Kluyveromyces lactis: one gene and its partner. The protein of the gene in region 1 interacts with the protein of each later gene in a biochemical or structural test. Links are inferred from orthologs where the notes say so. Each region holds a gene or a part of one and is shown on either strand. Other genes may lie near its edges.

Region 1 (4,266 bases):
TGCCCAATGGTGGATGCACATCATGGTAGAACTCATGCTTTAAATAATATGATCCAAATTTCCCAAAATGAGCCTCGTCCCAGACAACGATGTTGCTTCTGTCAATCTTGTAGAACCGAAGCACGAAAGATACCAGTGTTAGTAATAAGCAAACATATGTGTGAAATCGGTGGTTTCTGTTGGAAAATATTGAAGATTTCAATGGCTTCACCAGCTTATCCTCTACAGGTTCATTATCTCTTAAGAAGTCCTCTAAAACCTCTGTACCATCGAATTGTGCTTTTCTTTCTCTCAATCGCAAGTCTGAAGAGTTCGGTAAAAATCCAGATGATTTAGAAACCATTATTACCCTTGGACGAACCACTTGCCCTTCCTGTATAAAGGGTAACCTATTGCGCTTTCCAATTCATTAAAGGATGCCCAGGTATCATTTCTGCTTCTTTCCCGAGATCTTGGACACGGTCCATCCGTAGATATATCAACATCGAAAACGAAATTAGCCTTCTCGATAAGTCAGGTGACTAGACAAGCTTGGGTAAAATTTAGCGTGTCATACATAATTCAACTCAGTATATTCTATAGTCACAATATAAATCTATATACTAGAATGTAATATGTTATACTTCAGCTGCCACAGTGGAAATATTATGGATATCAGAACACTTGGATGAGGTAAATTGAAAGAATATCAGAAATTACAGAACTTGAATTCGCGAACGGGTTGAAGTTCTTCGTACTTGATGCATCGCCATAGCGCCTCCTGTTGTCTGGTAGAATCAGAATATATTTCGTATATTTTTGATAGATACCACCACACTGCAGATGTTTGATAACCTTCTATCGATTTATCGACTAGTTCTTCGAATAAGAACTTAAGTCTGGCTACAGCAGAAGAAGTTTCGAGTGACGTGGCAGAATTTCTATGTAGCTCCTTTTGGTTTATTTTGGAGTTATGCTTGAGATCCGTATCCAGGTTTGCCTCTTCATCAGGAAGCACGATTTTTGCCAAACCGATCAATGCCTCGACAGATGTAGAGTCATAGTGCAAAACTTTTTCGAATTCCGCTGTCGCTTTTTCAGAGTGACCATGTGTATACAACACGAATCCTTGTGCGAGGTTGTGGTTCAAATTAACATATTTTGAAGTTACGTTCTTAAACTCATCTAACGCAGCCTTTACATTTTCGATATCGTCATTTTCCAGGTATAATTCCAATGCAAACAACCAAATCTTCTGCAATAGATAGTCGTTACTCTGATTGATTTGAGGACCAAGGGGTTCTGAAGCATCTGAAAAGAGACGCTGATAAAGTTCGAATACCTCTGGCAAAATTTCAAGTGCATCTTCAAGTGCAAACATGTCTCTAACTAGTTGAAGTTGAGTTAATTTAATGTGAATAAACTGCCATTTTTCATCAATTGTGAATTGCCTGCCTTCATCGAAAAGTTCACACATTGATTGAATGACAGAATTGATAATTTTGAAACTTACTTGTAAATCTTCATTGATGCAGGATTCACATAACGCAAGAAGATGCCAACTAGCGAAATGTTCTGGATGAAGTGTTAATATTTGTTTTTTTAGATAAGCGATGCATTGGTCAATTTGTCTTAATGTAGCCAAATGATAAGCGAACTTAAACTTTAATGACACAGAAGCGTTCAAAGACGTTTGCAAAGAATTCGATAGGTAAAATATCTGACTGTGATCTACCAAGGCTGGGAGAGAAGAAGCGCTAGTTTCGTATAACGTTTCCCATGAACTGGATAGAACAGAAGCTGTTGATGAGGCTAGACATAAGTCCAATACATCTGAGCTGCCTTCTAGTGCCTTTTGTTTTTCTATAATAGGGATACTGTACTTGTTGTGAATTCTTTCTAGCAACTTTAAGAAATCGGATGATACGTTTGCTGGCATGAAGAACGGTTCAAATGGCGTTTTACATGTAGACAGAATGAATTGGTACGATGAAACTAAGTCTAATAAGTCAGGATACCTTTTGTTAAGTTCGTAATATTTGTTTGAATAATTGACCAAATTGGTAAAGTTTAGAATGCTCCTCTTTAGATCGACCTTTCGATAAAAGAGCATTGCTGATTTTGCAACCGAAATACTTTGGAAACTTTTTTCCATACTATCAATGATAAATTGCTCCCATTCTTTCTTCACATTTAAATTATTTATTTTGAGATGCTCTTGTAGGACCATGTGGAATTGTTCTAGTTCAAAATTATTTGATTCATCAGCATTAGGGAAACGACTTTTCTTCAATAATGAATGGCTATAAGATAGAAGATTTGAGTCAGTTGCAGAACCATTAAGGGTCAAAAGCATCCATTGGAATGGTGTTTTTGGCTTAAAATGAGAGAGGTCCAGCCCTTTTATTATTGCCTGCAAATAATGCCAAGTTAAGCCATCAGAATATTTCGGAATAGTCCAGCTTTCAGAGGAAAACTCAGCTAAGTCGACATTTCCCTTATAAAATAGCCTTTCCAAATCTAGCATTCTTCCAAATCTATCGTATCCATTAACGCTGCCTAACTTCTTAGAGACGTACTGCAACCCCTTTTCCTTTTCATCAAGTTCACAGAAAACAATACCATAGATATTGTCCGCAATTGCACAGTGTAATTCATCCTTTAGAACGGGCAACTTCTCCACTTCAGATAAAAGGGCCGACAGTGCACTGAATTTTGTCTTTGTAGAAATGTTTATGTGATAATGGGCTCTATAATGAAGAGATAATAATTGATCCAGCAAAGCATCTGACGATTGAAAAACGCTTGAACCAATTAGTCGAGAATCTAAAGCATGATTCACCGAATCATCAATGTATCCTCTGGTCATAGTACAATTGACTTCCGAATGCTTCCGTGATTCAACCAATTGGTAAGCAAATACAAGAGTGCTCAGTGTATTACTCAAGGCTCTTTCTCTTGTTTACTCTCTGTGCTCGGTGAAAATAGCTTTTAGTTTATTTTACATTTTGACATGTTTCCTCACCATCTAACGGTGCATAATGGAAGTGGAAGTGAAGAAAAAGTGATCTTACCCGGATATTCTTTTGTAAGGTATTGCCCTTCCTCACCATGGGAGTATATTTATGGGAACCTAATAGCTACTACAGTTATTATATATGAGGGTATAGATATAGCATCTTACTGATGTTTAATTGTGCAGTTTGTTGAACGATGAATGCGGTATTATATAAATCTTTCTACCTAAGAGGCTAACATAAAGTTATGACAAAAGGGTGTCAGCTAAATGTGCTTCTCATAATCATTTCTTATTTTCGGATCCTGGTGTAGTTGTAGTTTCAGCTTTTTTCTTCTTCTTCGCGGCATCGATTACTTCTACCTTAACTTCTTTCATACCTTTTTCCTCTAGTAAAGAATGTATATATGCTTCTACTTCATCTGCCAAATCACCTTGAACAATCACTTCTTCTTTCTTCTCGGCATTTTTGGAGATAGAACAACCTGTAGCAAATTTGGATGCAAAAGTTTTGGAAAGTTTCTTCATGTCAATTTCGAAAACTTCTAGTCCAGAGATAGCAATCATACACTTCCGTTTTGTTCTTGCTTCTCTTCTGATCACAACTTTAGACGATAATTTCTTAGCCAATTCTCTTTCCTCTCTAGCCTGTTGTTTTCTTTCTAGTTTCTCTAGGGCCTTTTCAAGCTTCTCCTCTCTTTCATCACCAATAGATGATTCTGCCAATTGTTTAGACACATCTTCAGTGACATCGCCATACCATTTGGTGTACAATTCTGGGTGGTTTTCTTGTAACCAAGCTTTACAACGTTTGAATTTACCGGAAAATTCACAGTATTCAGCAGGAAAGTCACACACACCACAGTATATAACGTTAGTGAGAGGCATTCTGTATATTCTTCTGTCTCTTTAATTAATTCTAACGTATAAATCTCAAACTGAATCAAGCGTAACTTAATTACACGTAATGTTATTCTGAACACACCTCATCTCATGCATTAGTGATTTTCTGTTTCAATATTTTTTTCAATATTTCACTGTAAAGATCGATTCACTTTCTTCAGTAACTACGTAATCTACTACTTACATATACTAAGTGTTTACTTAGACATGCACAAATAGCGGCGAACTTTGGTTACACTCACACTGAATACACTTCTTTGGAATGGCAACGTATGATGATTTTGCTACTGATACTGTAATAATAACGTCAAAGACAAAGGACGTGTGCTCCAAGCCCTTGTTTGATGAGATCGTAAATAAGGTGCAAG
Region 2 (4,376 bases), on another chromosome or scaffold:
CCACTAGTTCTCAAGGTAAACTCGAATCTCGGATCGTACTTTCTTGTCTCAAAATCAGATACACTATCAAACAGCATGCTTAGTGAATCCAACAATGCATAAAGTGAGTCATGATGGCATAAGCTTGAAGGCAACTTTTTGATAAAGATATCACAGCATTGGAAAGCGCAGTCTTGAAGAAAGAGGTCTCTATGTGTCAGCATTAAGAACATCTTCTTCAATTCACCGGAACTCTTTTTCGCGGAAAATAGCTTTAGATCGCCAGTTGGAACAGTTTGTAAATATTTATTATTCAAATTAATGGCGATTGGTCCAAGGAATCTATCCAAATTAGTATTAACAATAGTTGAATCTGAGAAATATTCCAAAATTGTTGAACAGTCGCCAATATCGCAACGAATGCTTTCAAGGAAAAACGATGCAGCTAAGAACATGATTTTCGTGGTTGAAATAGTTCTTGTTGCGATAACATTCGAGGAAAGGATATGTTGAATTGAAGACTTTTGGGCCTTAACGTTATGATTAGATGAACCACGACGTAAAATAGTATTCATTTCCAATGTGGTTTCCTTATTGTTTGAAGGGAAATCCGATACGAGAGGAGGGGAGTTATATGCAATAATCTCTAGTTCCCTTCTGAACTTCAATGCCATATCAGATTTGATATGGAACCCATGAATAACCATGTTGAACCAAATATTACGGAAAGCGGAAGTTGTTACAGCATCTTTTCCCAAGATATCTCTGATAGACACATCTTCACCAGGAACTGGTAACAGTAATGCCAATGGTTTCAAGAAAAAGGCGATTTGTTCGGCGACCTTGGAAATTTCATGGTGTGACCTGTGGTGTTCTAATTTCTCAACATCACCCCTACTGACAATAATATCCAAAATGCTTCTCAAATAGTACATGTAAGAAGCACCTTTTGTACCATTCTTGAGCTCTTTGCTAATGATCACTCTAGCAGACAACACCGCATCTAGTATGTCTGTGTTTTCCTCCTTTAAGGATTGTAAACTAACCGAGTTGTAAAACTTGCATAGCATTCTGAACTCATTATCCGCCACAAATGGCAAAATGTGAGCCAATCCTTCAAGGATCAATCTGTCGGATTTAGTGGAAAGGGCCCTAAACTTTTGAGTTAGGATTGTTATTGCCAATGCAGAAATAGCTTGATCACCGTAGTACCTGGCCACTGTAACACATGCCATGACTGCATTTTTGAATAACTGATCATGATAATGTGTGTTAGATGTATCAAACAAAGTTTTTTCTTCTGCTTCGGCCACTTTGCTGAGGACTAAGGAAGCAGTGCTGCTGTTGTCATTCTCAGCGCCAAGGTAAACTCTCATATCATTTAACGAAGTGAAAGTATTAGCCTTTCTTTGTCTTGGGAACATCTTATCTAGTTCATTCATATCGGAAACTGTCATCTTACGCTCTTTCAATAGGGGAACTGGGGAGCCATCCTTTGTCACCGCCAACAAATTATTAAGCGAGTAAATAGTGCCTACAATAGCATCTTCGCTCAATGGCTTCAAACCAATAGCAAAGTTAGCAGACAATTGTGTTACTAATTCCGTGCTGATCTGTTGAGAAGACACAATCAAGGGGAAGACATTCAGCAACCGAGCCGATAATCTATCGGTAAAGAAATTCATCAACGATGCGACATTAACAATTGCTTTCAAAACTTCAGGACTTTCTAAGCGAATGGTGGCGTGTAACGTTTCAATTTCTTGAATGGAGATAGAGATCAATTTGGTAGATAACATACCGCTTTCGTGTTCATCAATAAATAATGAGAACGCGAGAATCTCCATGTTGCTGACTTTACACCTGTATGCTAATGAAACTGTATTGTACGTCTGCAAGTTCATGTAAGGAGCACCATCGTCAACTAATGTTATGATTTTAGCAGCGTTAGAGGCAATTTTGTTCAACTCTCTAGAGTTTTCCACGGTGATTTGTTTGAATTTCACATACTCTTCGTTACCTGTTTCTTCCTGGTATTCAAGGTCCTGGATTATCAATAGGTACTCGGACAAGTTTTCGTGATTCTTCACATCAAACACAACAGTTAGCAGATTCACCTGGACCTTAGCCAACAAATGGACAAATCTCAGAGCACAAATTTCACGATGATTATCGAAATAGTCAACTAAAATATCATTTGATACCGATTGCGACAACACCGTTTCAGCCTTCAACAAAAACTCAGAGTTCAAAATTTGGATCAAATGGAACACTAATTCCCAATGGAATTGAGTGATTCTGTCAGATTTTTGGATACCGGCAGCCATTGCTTCCATATGGCCAAGGAAAGACACTAGAGCATTGACCGATAGTGTGGATTGTATAGTTTTCAAATACTCGCTGAAAAGTCTGTTCACCTTACCAGTTAAACTAGAAAACTTGGTACTAGCTCTCAATAAGAAAAATGTCATCTTATGGCACAATACTTCTAATGGGTTCTTGAACCCATTGTTCTTGAATTTACTTGTTACAACATCAGTAAATTTATGTTTTGAACAGTCCACAAAGTACGGTGTTATCAAATTATCGATAATGGATTCAACAGTTTCCAGATCTTGTGGGGAAGTATCACAAATAGCAAAAATTATCTCAAGTTCTTTTAAAGTTAATGGAATTGAGTATAGCTTCGAGACATTGGAAGAATAAGCAATGGGCAACGAATTTATGAGTTTCGATAAAGGTGGATCTTCTGAACCATTGACTTCACAAAGCTTCTGCAAAGCACGTGCTCTCAAAGAGATTCCGCACCTTTTCAAGCCTCTCATCTTCTTAGAATATATGCTGGCTTATTGCTGCTGCTGTTGCCTTACTAAAATGTGTCAATAGAAGCCTCTCAATGTATGTTTCGCTACTTGAAGCTAGAATTTAAAGGTTTTTTCCATGAGTGTTGAGTCTCGACAGGTTTCTGCAGCGACAGAAAATAAAATTATCTGTCACGTGAATAAGCACTTAATTCCCATCCATACATAAGTAGATAAATATATATATCGGGATGATTAAAACACGTACTCTTTGATTTCTAGAGTGTTATGGTTGTCTCTGATAAGAATTAAAACCCTAGTAGAATCCAGCCCATATGTATTGTATTTGTGGAAAATGACGTTGGCGATGGATCGCTTTCTGATGTAGCATTTTTCTAAAGGGAAAAGCACGGTTTCCTCACGATTGTATGGTAAAATATCAAGTATCTCTGCATACCCCGCCCAATTCCAATTGAGATTCACTGGAAACTTCAAGTTTGGTGTGTTCAAAGAGAACATATCGACTTCTGTTTCTAATCGCTTCCCGTATAGGGCGCAATGCAATTCCTCATTTCTTATTATAGAGAGTATTTCCTTGTTCTTGGATAAGTTGGAGTACCTGCTTTGAAATTCTGCCAATATTTTACCTCTATGATTCAGCAAAATAAGTTTCTGAAATGGATATTTCCCAATTGACAAGAGTAAATCTGATTCGGGCTCATTTGCTGTTCGAGTAATTGAAATTATAGGCCCATCCGATTTGAACCATGTATATGCCTTGGGGCCCCCTCCATTATTGTTGCCAGTATCAAAAATCATTACTGAACCATTTCTGAATCCAATGAGGAATACATCCTGCCCAAGCAAGATACAGCTCATTGCGTCGCCGAATTTTTTCGGAAGTTTATTCTCTTTTGAAGTCTTCAATCGAGTTCCGTTATATTGAATCAACTGGTACGCTCGGGATGATAGAAACAGAAGATATGTATCTGTCTCATTTTCAAATGAGTTCACATCAATAACTTCAGGTAGTTTCAACTTTCCTCCTGCCATTATTTTCTCTGTGTTGAAATTGAAATCATTGAAGCGGTTTATACTGATGGTAAATTGGTCGCATGTTTTGAAGTACGTTACCGTTTCATGGGCGGATGAGTCTCTATTAAATGAAACTTTGAAGGAATCATCAGACTCATCGATAGATAATTCAAAGAGACGGAAACTTGCATCGTTCAGTATAATGGAGTGACCAGTTCGTCCCATTTGGATTTCACTGGGCCCCTGCTGAGAGATGAATGAGGGCAAAGTGTACGTAGTCGCCAGTTGAAGTGTTTTATTCTGAAACCTGAACCATTCGGGACGCGGTAGTGGATGGCCTTCTATGAGTGCATCTACGCATTTCACGTACTCTTTGTGTGCCACTGACCTGTTAAGACCATCTGGCAACTTTGATTCCTTTTTGTTCTTTCTATCACCAGCTTGTTCTTTGAAATATCTCTTCCTTACAGGATCATATGTCAAACCTGGCAACTGCGGCACGCTCATCTATAAAATATTTGGATGGTCACCACCAAGTGAAGGTCCTGCTTCACTAGGGAG

The links.
Region 2: the proteins of YPP1 (region 1) and STT4 form a complex in vitro, tested with the Saccharomyces cerevisiae proteins (2 studies listed by BioGRID). The link is inferred for Kluyveromyces lactis from reciprocal best matches to the Saccharomyces cerevisiae genes YPP1 and STT4.

What each region holds. Positions count from the first base shown.
Region 1 is NC_006042.1:2,038,733-2,042,998, reverse strand, and holds YPP1 (Ypp1p), read right to left. Parts: upstream 2,849-4,266; coding exon 689-2,848; downstream 1-688. Other genes in the region: dolichyl-phosphate-mannose-protein mannosyltransferase PMT6, read right to left, coding at 1-343; TMA22 (Tma22p), read right to left, coding at 3,281-3,883. UniProt on the Saccharomyces cerevisiae protein: Involved in endocytosis.
Region 2 is NC_006039.1:1,510,875-1,515,250, reverse strand, and holds the start of STT4 (1-phosphatidylinositol 4-kinase STT4), read right to left. Parts: upstream 2,805-4,376; coding exon 1-2,804. Other genes in the region: KLLA0_C17270g (uncharacterized protein), read right to left, coding at 3,036-4,322. UniProt on the Saccharomyces cerevisiae protein: Acts on phosphatidylinositol (PI) in the first committed step in the production of the second messenger inositol 1,4,5,-trisphosphate. STT4 functions in PKC1 protein kinase pathway.